Linked DNA regions of Drosophila melanogaster. The protein of the gene in region 1 interacts with the protein of each later gene in a pairwise test. Each region holds a gene or a part of one and is shown on either strand. Other genes may lie near its edges.

What was found.
Region 2: the proteins of tx (region 1) and Pen interact in a two-hybrid assay, tested with the Drosophila melanogaster proteins (one large-scale study listed by BioGRID).

Annotation. Positions count from the first base shown.
Region 1 is NT_033777.3:26,437,232-26,445,441, reverse strand, and holds the start of tx (taxi), read right to left. Parts: upstream 4,665-8,210; 5' UTR 3,706-4,664; intron 1-3,705. UniProt on the Drosophila melanogaster protein: Probably plays an important role in the differentiation of epidermal cells into the tendon cells that form the attachment sites for all muscles.
Region 2 is NT_033779.5:10,052,814-10,061,848, reverse strand, and holds Pen (pendulin), read right to left. Parts: upstream 4,950-9,035; 5' UTR 4,645-4,949; intron 4,228-4,644; 5' UTR 4,153-4,227; coding exon 4,090-4,152; intron 4,029-4,089; coding exon 3,715-4,028; intron 3,651-3,714; coding exon 3,080-3,650; intron 3,003-3,079; coding exon 2,382-3,002; 3' UTR 1,754-2,381; downstream 1-1,753. Other genes in the region: Cpr31A (cuticular protein 31A), read right to left, coding at 5,977-6,987, 7,482-7,493. UniProt on the Drosophila melanogaster protein: Binds specifically and directly to substrates containing either a simple or bipartite NLS motif. Promotes docking of import substrates to the nuclear envelope. Seems to act as a cytosolic receptor for both simple and bipartite NLS motifs.

The DNA of each region.
Region 1 (8,210 bases):
ATTCAAATCACCTTTCCCTGCCTCAACTTTCAACACGTGGCTAGGTTCTTCACTTCGTGCCGGCATTTTCTTTTGGCGTTTCGCCCCTGTTTCGAGGTATAATTAATTTTTACCACGCAATCCTAAGAAATGCTTAAAGACCCAGCAGAAAGAAGTTTTTAAGTTGGAAAAGATCCGCATGGATTGCATGCCCTTTCAAAAAGTTTTAAATGCTTTTAGAATATGCTTAGTATCTATCCTCTACTCTACATATCTATATACATATAAATTTCGTTAATACATTATTTTTAAAGCATGGTACGAAACGAATGTCATTCTTTAAAAGACCCGCCCCCAAGTCAGTGGAACCCACTTGAGTTGTAAGGGCATCGTGAAAAGTTTGCGACATGCAACAAACAAGCTGCAATTAAGCGCGCAACACAGAAAAATTTGTGCACCGTCTTCAAAGAGGGGCGGCAAACGTTGTTCACCTGCTCACTCCCCTCGCTCCCCTCCGCCCAATTTTCCCATTTTCCCGCCCTCCGGTCCAAAACGACGTGAAAATTACCTAGTTCCGTGTGCTTAAAGTGGGCCTTTTCGCTGGGTGGGTGGAAAAGCGTGGAAAGTGCAACGACTGTCCGCAATCAACAAATTGCATGCGATTAAAAGTATTCGCGGCTAATAAACGTTTGTTGAACAAACAGCAACAAGCGGCCTCCTGATTTTCGGAGTCGCAACCGGAGGGATACAGGATATGCTGCAAGGAAGTGGAGCAGGAAGTTAGCGGGGCGCAGTTTATAGTGCATAGGGCCTGTTTCGTTCTCTGTTGATTGGAAAATTTGTTGCGCGCTTTTCGTGGACAAAGTGAGCGGTGGGGGGGGGGGAAGGAGGGCGGGGTGGTGCCTCTGCTTAAGTTTTCAATTACACGCCGGCACAATGCAGAAAGCGCCCAATTGAAATGCACAGACAACAAACATAGAACAGTTCCTCTTACACAAAAGCCCAACATTTCATTTTGACACTGAGAAAAATCGGAGGAATGTGAAAGAAATACGTTCAATCAAATACAATAAAGCTGTTATGTTTGATTACTGCTTATAACATTTCAGCTTATCAAACTAAGTTGTGTTTTTGTTATATGATATATTTATAAGATCTCATATTCAAATAAAATGTTGAGCTTTTTGACAACAAAAAATTCTTAAAGTTTTTTTCCTTACAATTATTTGCAGTTGAAGAATTTTGTTTCAGTGCACCCCTTTTCCTGATCCCATTCTCTTTTACCAACAGTTTGGTAGACAAAAGGCGAGCCGTGCGTGCGACGAGGCGTGAAGGGGTCGAGGGGCGGGGCAGGGGCGTGTGGGTGGGTCGGCCCGTTCCACAGATATATAAAATACTTTTTTTTTTTTGGGGAAAATCAGATGGAATGGGAATGGGGACGGGGAAGTTAGCCAGGCCTAGCCGAAGTGCACTTGAAACTACCGGCGAGTGGCTCCTCCTCCCTCTGCAGTCTGCCCTTCACTTTTGGTTCGGTTGCAGTCGCTGCATTTTTAGGTGTAGCCATTAAATTTAGAACTTTTTCTGCACGCTTGTCTGCGCGCCCATGGGTTTTCCGGGGGGAAAATCGGGGCAGGAGGAATTGTTGAATTCAAGGATTTCGGCAGTCGGGTGCGGTTAAATGGAAAATGAAGCGTCTGCTGCTTGGGCACGGAAAAAAAAGCAACTGAACCACATGAGGCATTGCTATAACGAGGGTAGATGACTTAGTTTGAACAATGTTTTCTCTTGACAAGATAAAGTTAGCATGGTAAACGGATCTAAACTTTGATTTATAAATATTAGTAATCCTTCAATTGAAAAAGTAACTAAAGTAGTAAAATCATCATCAAGAACTAAACTTTCAACTTTAATTATTGCTTTTGAATGAAATCCAAAGTTGCTTTGTCTTTCGTAACTTCAAGAGCTGCCCTCTGGACCGATTCGCTATGGAATCTCCGACTGATTCAGATTGTCTCTGTGCCTGCCGTGTTTTTGATTCGTTTTGTTGTTGTTGTCTTTTCCACAGCTCTAAAATTAGTTTTCATTGTATGCAACTTGAATTTTCTTCCTTCACTATTTTCGTTTTCTTATTTTCGTAGCGCTCTATCTATTTTTTATCTGCCTCGATTTGTGATTCTTAATTTGCTTTTTGTGGAAAGCGTCAAAATCTTTCATTCGGCTTCGACTTTGTTGCCGATACTATATACATAGTCACCTATAGTCTATAACCTTTGTTGTTGCTCGCCTAGCTAGTTGCGCGTGTGTGTGTGTGTGTGGTTGCTGTTGTCTCGTGCTGTTGGCTGTTGCCAGTTGCACGTTGCACGTCCCCCTGATGCTAGTCTCGTGTGTGCTACCGTTGGCAGCTATTATTTTTAGCCGGCCTGCGGCAAGTTCTTATTTGTTATTTTACCCATCTCTTTTTTTGCCGTCTTTTGATTTTTTTACGCTTCTTTCCTTTTATTTCGTTTTGTTTTTTCTTCTGTTGATTTGTTGCCATTGCTTTGGCCAAATGATTTTGTTTGATTTTCCATTTACGTTGAGTTTGTTTATTAAAATTGGCACACACTGCGTATGTGTGATGTGGCCGTGTTTACATTCACCGTCTCCCTTCCACCACCGTGTGGATAAATACGAATACGTATGAGTTATATTTTGATAGCTTTCTGTGTGGTTTTGTATTACCCATCGGCTTTTGATTTGCTTGATTTTTTGACAGGTCTCTGGCATTTGCCTACGACTAACTTTTATTTTTCTTGATTTATTCCTGCTATTGTTATTGTTTAAGTCTCTTTGCAAGGAGGGGCGCTGGCTTTTCCCACATACGATCGAGATTTGGGTCAGGGGGACAGCAAACAATGAGGTAGGCAAGTATATATAGGGTAGCAATAGACTCATGTGTCCATAAACTAATTTAATTTTAGATGCACCTTTCCATGGCAGAAAAATCATTAAAATTTGACTCGATTAATGCGTGTATTTTTGGCGAATTTTTTTTTTGTAAATCATAAAATATTTATGACGAATAACATTTTTTAATCATGTATTGAGTCAGCCCATGAGATGCTAGTTTATTTTAGCTTTCGACAAAATGAATAATATATTAATATATTAAATAAATAAATGCCAAATTAAAATCGGCGATTGACTGGCTGCCAGAAACCAATTTTACTCGATTATTTGGGCAAACATAGTGCTTGTTGCCGAATGGTATGGCGAAAATGAAAGTAAATAAATAAATGCCGGCGTTGATTAGCACATCACAGATTTAAAGTGAGTGGCAGGTTAAGCGGGACTCTCATTGATGATGAGAATTCACAGCTTTTGTTTGCACATTAATTAAACTGTTCCCCCTACTTTGGTCGCAAACAAACGCAGCCAAGTTGCTGCTTCCCTTCGGTAACCTTTGAAAATCAGTTGACAACTGGCTGTCGTCGCCGTTTTCCCTGCTGAGCAGCTCGAAAACATTTTCCCCTGCACACATCTGGCTTTTCAACACCTTGGACAAATAAATGTTTCAGAAGTTTCTTAAAAGCCCGCCCTGCCCCATCTGCCAGCCACTAACGTGATTGGACAGAGGAATGCCTTTTGTCTATTTTTATTGGGGCGGCAACAAGAGATCGGGCAGATCTTCTATATCTTTTCTATATCTGAACGCTTATGTCTGATAAATGGCGGCGGTATATTTACCTTTTTGATTTCATAAATCCAACAATGTATGGCTGCGGGATTGGTCTTTCAGGATGATTTGAATTCAGTTGTGCACTCTGATTAAGATTTGTTGATGTTTTTATTTTAATTTTTGGTTCATTAAAGTTGCGCCAAAGTATGCAAATTGAAATTCCGACAACGCGCTGTCTAATTAGTCACCCAACTAATTTTGATATGCGATCTTTGTTTGAATTTTGTTTTGTTTGGACTTTTTTTTATTCTTTTCGGATTTAAAGTTATTAGCTCATGCATAAATTTGGCATGTTAACACAACAAAAAAGGTTTGTTTTCAGTTTTTATTTCCTCAAAAACTTCTGGAACTTGTTTTGGTTTGAATTAATATTGCGGTGGTTGTGGTTGTTGCGGTTGTGATTGCGCCGCTGGTTTAACTATTGATAATAACTTCGGTACGGTTTTCGCGCATTCTTGAGTTGTGTTTATCTTGGGCCTGCTGGAAAAGCCTCGAAGAATGGATTTTCCGTGAAAACGTGCAAGCCGCGTGTGTCAGTGCGGCGGTACTAATGTGTGCGGCGGTGTGCGTGAGGCCGGTTGCTAAAAATATCTATGAGTGCGCGTCGCTCGCGTTCTGTGTATCTGTATCTCGGAATCTGTATCTGTATCCAATATCCCGAGATGGCATACGAAAATACACGGAGAAAATGCTGCGCTGCGTCCGCCTGCTGCGCTTGTCGGCTGTGCACTGAATAGATATATCTCGCGGATCGCTGGGATGGTCTGACTTGGTTTGGCTTGGGATGCGGTGGCAGCTAAATCAGCTGACTACTGCCCCCAGTTGGCTTTGACTCCGTTAGCCAGGTTAGCGGCTCAGGTGGGCGGCGATGGCAGTGGAAGTCGGACTTTTGGCTCACTTGTCCGCTGCGCTGAGCGTGCGGCGCGCTATTGGAACGATCAATGAATGAAATGCCGCATTAAAAGGCAGCACAGTCTCGTTTTCTCAGCGACGACCAATAAACCGAGAAACCCACTGGCGCTCGCCAACGCCAACACAAAACAGCCCAGCGCACAACACAACACAACACAGCACAGCTCAGCACAAAGTCATTGAAGAGAAACCAGTTCTCTCTTTCCCCAAATATCCACATCCACCCGATGTGTGGGTGCTTTTTGCGTTGGCCGGATCGGATGGGATCGTATCGTATCGGATCGTATCGTATCGTACTGTATCGCATAGTACGGTCCCAGTTGGTCTTTGGCGCACTCTCTTGAGTGATTTCCGATTCGGATGGATTTTCGGTTTCGTTTCGAGTGTTTTGAGTGCTACCACGAGTACGCGTAGACGGCCCCCTGAGATTTCGTATGATCTAATATCGCCAGGCAGTTATTTATTTAAATTTATTGCTAATTTTATTTGCTGCTGCAGCAGCGCTTGACATTCATTTGTACAAGTCAGACATTGCTTGAGCTCACTTGAAAATAGTTAAAAATGTTTATTCGCCTTTGATTGAGATGGTATCAGCTACCAAAGCTTGACTTGTGTCGGATCTCCATTTTTAAGGTTGAACTTTGGTTGCCAGACCATAAATGATACTCATTCTTGGTATTTATTTGGATCAACTTGGATTTCGTGGCGAATTATGAGGCACGTCGAAGTAAAGTTCAAGGAAATCTCCTCATTTGTTTGTCATTTAAGTGTTTTAAGAATGGATGGTGGAATTTTGTTGTTTTAACTTTAATTCATGACAAGTATTTAAAGTATTTCCTGTAAGATAATATAAATATATATAATAACAATTCTTCGAAACGTGGTGTTCAGTAATTTTCAGCAATTTAAATTGTAATTAAAATATTTTTGATGGGTATCTGATAGCCGACGCTTTTGACTCCTGTCCATATATTTGGATTTTATAATTTATTCTAATTCGTTTCGATCAGTTTCAGTTCAGATGTATTGGGTGTGTGCACTTCTCAAGTTGTTTTCACATAGCGTCTAATTTCAAAGTGCTAAGCTGATTTCAAAGTCACAATTCAGTTGTTGGAACCCGATTTTTTTTTATTTTTCAACAAAGAATATTGTTTAGAGTCATGTTTGTATAGTTTGTTTTTGCTTGCATTTTGTTGCTTCGCAAATAATTATAATTAACTGAAACAGGCAAATAATTGCAAAATGGATTTGCTCCTGCAGGCAAAACAAGTTGTTTTCTCATTATTGTAGCTATGACGACATACCCGGCTTAAATCTCGAGTTTGCCCCGATATACTCATATACGAGCATTTGTGAATAAATGACTTCGGGCAATAGACCGATCGACTCTGTGACTGACTGGCGATTAATTTATCTTTGTGCTTCTGTCTTCTGTCTGAAGGCGAGTTCGTCATCGTTTGTCGTGTTTTGTTCTTGAGTAAATAAATCATGATGACAACAGTTAAATTTGATTATGATTCTTTTTTTTTTCATGCCCAGAAAGCATACATTTTTCATGGCACAAGGTCGTCACACATTTTAGGAGAGTGGAAAAGTAACGCATGCAACATTAATTTGATTTGCGTGCGAAGGGAGCTGAAAATCAAATTATATATGTACGAATATTTTTGATTAACTGAGCGTATTTAAAAATACATACAAAGTGGCCAAAATGTTGTGTTTCTTTGCTGACAGCTTAATCTGCCGAACGACGACGACTCCCAAAGACAAGAACATGAATAAGCGAGCCATAATTAAAAAAACAAACGTCACTTTTGAATGTTTGTTTTGTGACCAAGTCCAAAAATATATGGGCATGGCCAAAAGGGGCTGAAAACGTGGTAATAAAATATATACATTTTAAAAAATAATCAGTTTTAAATAATTTCTCGCACTTTTACACTAATAATTGCCATAATGCATGCTTGTAAAGACTGAATTTATATAAGTTTAACTAATTGCTACTTAAGTACTAGAATTTTATGGCGTTAATTGTCATTACTTTTAATCTAATTTGAGCGTGAATAATGCCCCTGCTCCACCTGCCATGTCGCTCAATTGCTTATGCAAATGTTCTGAGTTTCAGCTTTGGCTTTGGCTTTTAATTGCCAGCTTCGGAAATCGCATTTGCCTTAATATGGTCAGAAAGCCAGGCGCGATGCCCAGTATAAGTTCGATCAAAGGGGGGCCCCAAACGCTATAAGCCATCAGCTATTAGCCCCTTCCCTCTTGGCCCACTTGGATGGCCGGCGATCCCGCTAAGGAAGTCTGTGAGACGTGTCTGCGACCATTTATGGCCATCGCACGGGAAAGCAGTGAGAAAGCAGAGACTTTTGTATACAAACTCTCTCGACTCGGCTAATTGTGAGCATCGTGGGGCTTCGGGCCAAGCTTCTGAGCTGGCTGTTTTGTGTGTACTGTTGCTACCTTGTCGGCTGTTAACTTTGTCTGCAGCCTCGAAAAAGCGTTGGTGTCGCTGAGTGGGCGGCGACTGGGTCTTGAGTCAACGTTGATTTTGTTTTATATTTTACGTAAATTTATTATTACAAATATCGTTATTGCCGCTTTCAAGCGGAAATACACTCGACTTGGCCAGCCCACGCTCCCTCACGGTCATAACCACCTGCACAGGTTATCTTTTCGTTCTGCCTGTATTTCTTGTTGGCTTTTGGGAAGTGGAAGCTGGCTATTTCGAGTGGAATTGGACGAGCGGAAATGCCAGGCGATTAAGTTGTTGTTCCTCAGCTCGGTTACGTTACCTTTTTCTATTCGTCTCATTTTTAGTGATAATTAATTTTCGTGAGCTCTGTGATACTGCTGATTTGCATAAGTGAGGGTCGCGTGGGTGCGGGGCATATGAATCAGTTGGTAGACTTATGAATGGCATAGTAAAGTTACTTTGTTAACTTTCACGGATTGACAATAGGCAATTATTGCAATGCGATTAACATAAAAATAAATGAAATTAACTCTTTAAGTGCTTTTTATTTGTCAATGCTGCAGGTATTTCGATTTAATTGGTTGAGCAACGTATGAATGGAATTTTATTGCATTACCATTAACTTGTGCATGCTCAAAATGTAATATTTATTTGCTGAAATCTTTAATGATGCGTTTAAGTAATTCTATTACAAATTAAAGTGAACATAAAATGATAATGTGAAAATATATTTGTTTGTTATTTAATTGAGTACATTGTCTTTTGTCTATTGTATGGGAAAAATATAAGAGTTCAGCTGCAGATCTGTGATATGCTAATCCAACGTTGATTTAAATACCCATTGACATAAACATGGATCACTTTCGGTACAATAGTGTAGCCTGTTCATATCAATCAACGCTTATTAGCCATGAAAAGCGTTCGCAACCACGACTAACATCCGAGCATCGAAAACTAATCGTGTATGAAGAATAATGGATATGCTCGGCCATTGACAAAGCTTAACAAATCACACAAGAAGGCGAAAAGTGAAACTGCCAGAAAAGCCACACTGCCACATGAACCCGTCGAAATGGCAGCCCCCAAAAGATCGTGGCTAATCGTGAGCGATGGCTAAAGTAG
Region 2 (9,035 bases), on another chromosome or scaffold:
ATGGCAAACAAACCCAATCCCACCGCCTACCACGCCCACGCCCACGCCCACTTCAATGCCCACTCGCTATATATGTACTATATAGTTTGTCGATTCGAAGCTGCAGCTCTGCACGCCGATTTCTACGCGACGCGCACACTTGCGCGCTTAATTGCCACATCAACAAACAAAATACGCGCCCACCCACCCCAATCGGAAAATAAAAACGGACCGAAACGGAAAAAAAGACCGTTTTCCGCTTCAAAATCGCGAGAGCCACGCTGCCCACACTGCAAGAAAAATCTATCAGAAAATCATGTCACTCATACTCTTTCAGTTTTCACAATTTTATCACATGAACAACTTTAAAATGCATTTTGAATAGATTTAGTATAGGTAATATACTATTCTATCAATTCACAGCAAAATTAAATGTTTTCCCAATGATTAAAATTAAACATTTTATAATGAGTACAAATTTCTTGCTGTGTACGCTATGTAGTAGTCGCTATAAAGTAGCGCTGTTCTAGTGCTAGATGTTTATTGTTTATTTTTGGTGTGCCAATTTTTTGTTTTATTCAACGAAATTAACTGCATCATGAGTTTGTCAAAAGTGCTTTCGATTTTTTTCACACTTTTTTTCTTGTATTTTGTAAACGTTTAAATGCACCAAGTGGCATATGGTGTATCCCCAACTGGATTCTCAGTGAGGCATATGAGATCAGAAAATTGTTTTCGAAGTGGCATCATCAACAACAATAGTTGTGAAAATTTCGACACACATTCAGTGAAAATGCGAATTGATTTACACACAAGGCAATTTACGAAACTACCGATTGGTTTCACATCACTTGCACTATTCTCTATTACCTTTTTTAAAAATCGTTAGAAATTTTTAAGTTTCAAATGCGTAATGTCAGTTCAGATCGTTTTGCAATTATATAAATTAGTTGCCCTTAGAGATTCACGCCCGCACGCAGCTTCGGCAGAAAGTCGACTAAACGCTTGCGCTCGGAAATAATAAAATAGCTCGAGAAAGAACCAATTGAATACATAGATCCGATCCATCGGTGACGACAATTTGGGCAACGCGGAGGCAAAAGCTCCGGATGGCGGCCAATGCTTCCACAATTCAGTTCGAATTTTCGGCAACTACTTTGCCCATGCTGAATTTTTAATCTATTTTTATAATTTGTTTTGCCACACACACACACGATTCGCCGAATTCGACGCACTGCATCCGATGGGAACAAGATCGTACGTGGACATGGTTGTTGATGTGACGTCGTCGCTCCACTGATTAAGCTTACCCTCTGGATCACTGCAATAACCACGAACGCTGCGATTCATCTTGATTGAGTTGTGCGTGGTGCGCGTTCTGTGCCAGTAGTAGACTACTACTCACTACTCACTCGTCGGTTGTTTAATCATTATATCTAATCTGGAACTTTTTTGGGGTCGCTGTCCACCGCTGCTCGAGTGGGCGTGGCTGCGGTAGATAGCTCTTAATCTTCCGGCTATCCGCTTACGGCCCAAATGCGATTTAAATGTACAAGACAAAAAAAAAAACATGTATTGACTGCATGACTTTTTATCGCGGATTTACGGACAAAAGGCGCCAGCGCATCGAAGGGATAACATTTTAAATTCGATTGCCTGCATCGGTGTATATCCCAATAGCATTCCAAATAATATACAAAAAAAAATGCCAAGGCCCAAAAATAGGCTCCAATTTTCGCAATGCTCAAATGCAGCTTAAATACACATGAAATTTAATTAATCATTCAAACAATTCATTATTTATTGACAACTTTGAATATAAACATGCGATTCGGGAATGAGGACACTGGTGTGAAGGGAATGAGTTGTTGTTGTTGTTGTTGTTGTTGTAATGCTTGCGCGAAGGTGGAGGATTAAAAGCGTTTCCTGTATACATAAATAAATACTAAACAGCCTAAAATATATCCGAAATGAGCTCGAAACGTATCCAATAAAAAGCCTAGTACACGCAAACATAAGGTGCCCCCTGTACAGACGGATTCTGGAAATACTATGATCCACGGATCCCAGCCAGCGCAGCTGCCCGAGCGGTTGCATCGTGAACGAGGAACACTGCCAGAAAGATCCATGCTGCAATCTGTGAAGTCTAGTCTAACGCGAGGAATACGGGTATGTTAAATGGGGATTCATGCGAGTGGATTTTGCCAACCCGATTCAATTATGACTTTAAGCTAATGCATTCGCCTGTGTTTCCATGCATACCTCCAAAGTGTTTGGGAATGTTTGTAAGATGTGATGATGAGTATGCGTATGTTTGACAATGGCATAGTGTGTGAGCGCGGTCGAAGGTGTAGTTGTTTGTAAGGCGTGTGAGCGGAGTTTGGAATGTGTGGGGTGGGCGATTAGAACGTGTAGCCACCTTCGGGAGCCTTGGGCTGGGTGGCATTGAACTCGAGGGCTCCGTTGACCTCCTGAGGTGCGAGCTCTTGCTCGGCCTCGTCGTCGCCGTTGCTGAAGTATGTGTCAATGATGGCGTAGGCCTTCTTGTAGACCTCCTCGTTCTCGTGCTGCTGCAGAGTTTCCAGCTTGTCTAGACCGCCCATCTCCTCGACCATCAAGCATAGGTTCTCGGTGCCACCAAGTTTCTCCGCCAGGGCAAACAGATTGGATAGGCCCGTCTGCACCACCTTGATGGTACGCGGATCCTTTGTGTCCAGCAAATCGATAAAAGGCTTCAATATTTTGTACTTCTCAATTAGATCGACGATCTGTTCGGGAGTGCCAGATGTCGTGGTGTTTGTCACCGCCCAGGCAGCCTCTTTTTGAGCCTTGAAATCACCCTTCTCCAGCACGGTGCGCAGCTGCTGGAAGATGCCGGCCTGAATCACAGCCTGGATCTGCTTCTGGTTACCTGCTGTGATGTTGCTGACCGTCCAGGCAGCCTCCTTCACAATGTTGCTTTTGTTGTGCTGTAGAAGGAGTCCCAGCCTTGGTAAACCTCCAGATGCAATTACAACGTCAGTCTAATAAAAAAAAAAAAAAAAAACAGGTCGGTCAGGCATGTTATAACAATAAGGATTAAAATCATTTGTTTTCCTACCTGTTGATCTGTGCCAGTCACAATGTTGCCAACGCTGCGCAGGGCGGGCACAATAATGCTCGGCTCGTCCATTTGCAGCAGTTTGACCAGGCGCGGCACTGCGTCCGAGTCGACCACAGCCTGGATCTTGGTGTTATCGTCGTCCGTGACGTAGGACAAAGCCCAGCAGGCGTCGGCCAGCACTTGGATGTCCTGACTAAGCAGAAGCTGCGACAGGACGGGCAACAGCCGCTTCACCTGATCGAATGGCGGCGATGGATTCTTGTTCCGGCACAGGTTGGACATCAGCCAGACGATGTTGCGCAGAAAAGAGAGCGGTGTCTCATTGTTGATCAGTGGCAAGATTCCGTCAATTACGTTGTGGTGGATGACAATGTCGCGGGCGGCGGCTCCGTCGCCGGCAATGTTGCCCAGAGCCCAGACTGCCTGCTCGGCCAGGTTCATGGACTTGGACTGGAGCAGAGCCACGAAATGCGGCACAGCATTGTGTTCGATAACGCAGCGCGTTTGGTCGGATGTGCCAGAGGCGATGTTGGTAAGCGCCCAAGCGGCCTCGAACTGCAGCATTGAGCTGTAGCGGCGAATCAGGGGATATTCAATAATGCTCTCATCAACATTCTAAAGCCACTACTCACTTGTTGGTATTCTGCAGGAAGCGTATGCAAATGGGCACAATACCATGGCCGATCATCAGGTCGATGGGTGGATTGCGCTCCCGACTGAGCATCTTGCGGGCAGACTGCATGCCCAGAAACTGGCGCTCCTGATCCTCGCTGTTCATGGCCGCCACTATCTCGTCCACGGACAGCTGCACCGGCGACTGGCCATTGAGCTCTTTGAGCGGCGACGTTAGATCCTCGTCGTTGATGTTGCGCCGCTTGAACATCTGGTCCTCCTTTTTGGACTTGCGCAGCTCGATGGTCACCTCATGGCGGCGCATGCGTGAGTCCTAGGGCAAAAAGTGAGGTTAGTTCCGAACGCAGTTCTGCGGAGGATCTTGTGTACATTACCTGCGTGTTAATGCTGTTGGCCTTGTAGGAGCCCTGTCGTGAGTTAGAATCCGCCTTACTCATTTTTTTTTTTTTTTTGAGTTTTGTGTTTTTTCTTTAAAAGTTTAGATGTTTGCTGCTGCGATGAAATGTGTGAAACTGAAAAGGAAAATGTGAGTCAATGTCAGGAAGAAGCAGAATCAAGGGCTGCTTGGGTTCTTTTTTTTTATCTCTGTCTTTTATATTCCTTTCGGCGTGCAACAGGGGCGTAACCATGAGTTCAAAAAAGGGGTTTTCTTTGTGGCCAGCAACTCGATATGTTATTCCTATGTGTTAGCCAACATAAGCCAACTAATTTACAAGATTATTTTTAACGGGGCACCCAATCGCTCAAGCCCCCGCGAGTTAAGAACTACGCCTTTGGTTGGCAACAGCTGCAGCAGCCGCCATTTGCCGATTCGCGGAAAGAGGGGAACGAGAAGAGGAGATCACGAAGAGGCGGTCAAATTGATGAACGCTAGTAAAAAGCAGTGGGAAAAACCGCGAAAAGGAAGAAAAGAGTACACACGCACTTACCTTTGTACCTTTGCCCTTTTGAATGCGTGTGCTGGCTTTTTCGAATGGAAATTCACTTTACTGAATTTTTACACAATTTTTATCGTTCCCTAACGAAACGCGAGCACGAGAATTTGTCGAGCGTGTTAGCACGCTGAATGTGTCGGTGAAACTGTAGACAAACGTAGACAGTACTCTCGTAATCGATGCGAAATTGGAGTCAATGCCTGCTTGGCGCCGCCAGAATTTACCGTTTGATTTGAAAAGCAAGCCTTAGTGGCGAACGAAACGCAGATGGCTATCGATCTTTGTCAGTTATCGAAATTTGATGCCAGTGTGAACGTAGGTGCCTAATATCGCATGTTATCTTGCTGTTAACTTCGGACAACGGCGCGTAGAGAAAAATAATGTACATTTTTTATATCCACATAATTATTACTAAATTTTTAAGTAACTTATTATTTTTTTAGTATATATAAATTTCTGGTGTAACTTGTTAACGATCGCTTGCCAAGTGGTGAAGCAGCTTTTGGATTTCAATATGTTGTTGTGGAACGTGGAACGTGTGCGCATGCAAGCCAAATTCAGCCAACAGCTGAATAGAAGTCGGCTGAATCTGCACACCACGCGGGCTCATTTAAATGTTTATGACAAATGTTTATGTTTTACTTTCTCGTCTTTACTTTTGTAAGGAAAACCTTCATCTTAAAATAATATAATATTAATAATGTTTAATATTAAGGCTATACGTTTAAAAGCTTCAATTACAATTTCCATAAATATTTATGTTCAATCTTTGTTGTTAATTTATTCAACGAATATGTGTTAAAATGTAAAGCTCTATCCATATTTAATAAGACAAAAAATAGCCACCTAAATCAATATTTAATTGGATAATAAAAGGTACTGATTTTATCTGTCTACCTTTAAATATAAAATTTGATTGTCTCTTTTTTTTTGCTTGCAAATATGTTATCATTGCACTAATACCATTTAATCTCTCGATTATCAGTAATAATGCAATAAATGCGCAGATATTTCCGGTTAATGCTCTTTTCATTTTGTTTATATGCGGTTGTCAGAAATAAACAAAATTTTTTTTAGAGATGATTGCTGCCAATCGATTTAGTCCCTTTTTCAATTGTTTGTTTTTCGATTCTTTGAGAAGTAATCCGCTAAATTAATGTGGTAAATTAATTATTAAAATCGCCGCATTTAAGCTTTTGAATTATCAGCTTATAAATGTAACTAAACTACATTTAATTTGAATTAGTAGACAATTTTTTATGTATTCTCGAAGTATTTTATTCATTTCCTTATTAATTTCAACAATATTTCCGTTCATAATCCAATCTAGGCCGTCTTCTTGTTCTCCTCCGTAACTGGAGCAGCGGTGGTGGTGGTGCTGCTGGCCTCCGGGGCAGATCGTGCCTCCACCACGTCGGAATCATCGCTGTCAGGAGCTGGGGAGGATTGACCAGCTGGCGAGTAGGGTGGGAACTGCTGATCCTGGGGATAGGTTTGCTGCTGCTGCTCCTGCTGCTGCTGCTGACCCTCGTTGTAGTCAATGGGAGTGGGTTCCAGCTCGGGCTGTTGGGCCACAGGAGACTCCACCACCTCACCCTGCTGCTCGGCAACCTGTTGAATCTGCTGTGGGGCGAACACCTGCTGGTGTGGATAGTAGATGGGAGCGGGCAGCGAGGCAACGGGAGCGGAGGAAATATGGACGGGAACTGGAGCTGGAGCGGAGACGGAAACCACTGGAGCAGCAACTGCGCGGGCAGCGACAACCGGTTCCCGCTGGACCACCGCATTGAATCCGTTGATGTCGTCGGCGGTGTAGGTCACTGTGCGCTTGAAACCATCGGCATCCAGGACGGAATAGGATCCCACAACATTGCCACCGTCACGGGTCTCCACCTGGCTTTTGATATCGCCGGTGATGCTGTCGTGAACGCCGTAGGAGAAGTCGTAGCGCGGCGAAGATTCCAACTCTACCTGTTTCAGTACAGCGGGAGCAGCAGCCACAGTCTTGACCACTGGAGCAGCGACCACGGGAGCAGCAGCCAGGGTCTTCACCACCGGCGCAGCAACGGGCAGAGCGAGAGGAGCAGGAGCCACCGCCTTGACAACTGGAGTGGGCAGGGCATAGGATCTGGTGTATACAGGAGCAGCTGGCACAAAGGTCTTGGCGTAAACTGGAGCCGCCTGCTGGTAGACAGCAGCCTGGGCCACTGGTGCCGCATGGTAGACGGCAGCCGGTGCCTGGTAGGTGGCATAGGCGGGATGATAGCCGGCATAGGTGGCGGCGAATCCTGCGCGACAGGATGCGGCGATGGCCAGAAGGGAGAAAACAGTCAGGAGCTGCACGGAAAAAGGGTTTAAATTATTTCAACATTTTTCATTCACTTCATTTTGTTAATAATTTAAGTTAATTTTGCTAAAAGAAGTGCGCTACTTTATATTTTAGCCAAAAACTATGTTTTCATACGTGCAAATGCAATACAAAAATCCAATTGCATTATACAATTTTTCAAATCCAATATTAATTTAAAATCGAAGCAATGCCAATTGGATTGGTTTTATTTTCGTGATTATGCAAATCACAAGTTATGAATTCAGTTGCACTGAAATTGAATTTGCTTCCTATTTTTTGGCCAACACCGAATTTAAACATTTAATCGATATGGAATTTTTGCGGATTTATAGAAAAATACAAGTTGGCTGGATATTTTTTTTTTCGAGAAAGGATATAGTAACACACGAGTTTAGCAATTGCCTTGAAAGTTGGCCATTTTGTACGCCATTGAAATGCCTTTTAAATCGAGCTGCTTAGAGTTCCACTTTATTAAACTCACTTTGCCTGCCATTGTGGAATCACTTCCTTTGCACTGGACTACTCGGTTTGCTCGAGGATGAAGTGGCACGTGCCGCACAGGTTGCGATGACTTTCAGACTGACGACTGTATATATCCGTCCGACTCTGGCAGAGACGTCGACTTAATGATGTCGACCACTCCCGACGCGCACCACTTTATATGGGGCGTCAGAATTAGCCGCCCCAAAAAAGAAGTGGCGCCCTCAAGAAAAGACAAAAAAAAAAAAATAAAAAGAAAAAAAAAAATCCGAAGAGCAAACCGGTAACAAGTACAAAAGTGTCTCGGCATCTTGGTTGACAATTTGACAATTGTCTTGGGCCAAAACTGGTTTCGGGTAATTTGTCTTTTTGTCCACGGTTTCGATACTGCTATCCGATTGAGTTTCGGTTTCGGTTTCAGTTTCAGTTTCGTTTTTTGGCTTTCCGCTCTCCATTTTCGTTGTCAAGTTCAGCGCTTCCTTGTAGGCCTACTCAGCGTGTCAGCGATTTGGTAATTAATTGCGTTTTAAGTGCCGTTCAATTAACTTTTCAATTGTCCGTTTGCCACCTTGCAGCGCCCTCTGTCGGAGCACAACGCACTTGGCCGTGTTTTTTTTTTTTTTTTCTTGGCGACATGCGCACGCCAATGGAGCGCCAAATTTGCTGTCAAGTTGTCCCTAAAGCCAACTATTTCTCCACCTCCCACGAAAATACAGGTGTCTTGTCAACACCTCAATATCCGCCACTATACATACGTATATAAATATATATATTTATATTTCGACTTGGTGGCTTTTGTGTGTCAGTGGCGTTTGCTTCATTGGGCGCATGATTTTCAGTTTTTTTTTTTTTTGTTTATTTTGGTCTTTTAGAAAATTTATTATTGCTCCATTTGGTGTTTATTTGGTGTCCACACTTGCAGACATTGGCACAGTTTCACATAGTTTTGCACTTCGGAACAGAGGCTTGGAAATTGCCAAATCGGATTACTAATTACAGGCATCTACCTTTATTTACTTTTTTTTTCATTTATTTACCATGAATGAGTTGGTTACCATCAAAGGTTGCCAACCAGGAACAAAATACGCTTTGGGTCACCGAAAATGGGTCTTAATTGATAATAATAACCCAGAACCGAAGGTTGCCCCAAAAGGCTTTTCTATGAAATTCGCCGCTTCCCGCGCAGCCCAACGAAAAAATGTGTCAACTCATTTGAGCGCTGTAATTAAGCGGCTTCAAGGAACCAGCCGCTCTCCATTATGGTCACAATTGTCTCCGGATGGCTGTGAACAATGAGGCATCGAGAGATCCCCGTTCAATGACTCTCCCCCACCCCCCTCCCCCTTGGCGAAGGCACACACAAAAATTGAAAGTGCGTGAAGCGTCCGTGAGCATTCTGTGGGACATAAACATTCGATTACAGCGTCCAAACACGTAGCCCCAAGCCATCAAGATGCGTGGACAGCCAGGGCACACTTATCGTCCCAGTAGGGAATCTAAATATATATATATAAATATATACATATGTATGCATATATCACATACTTGAACTTGA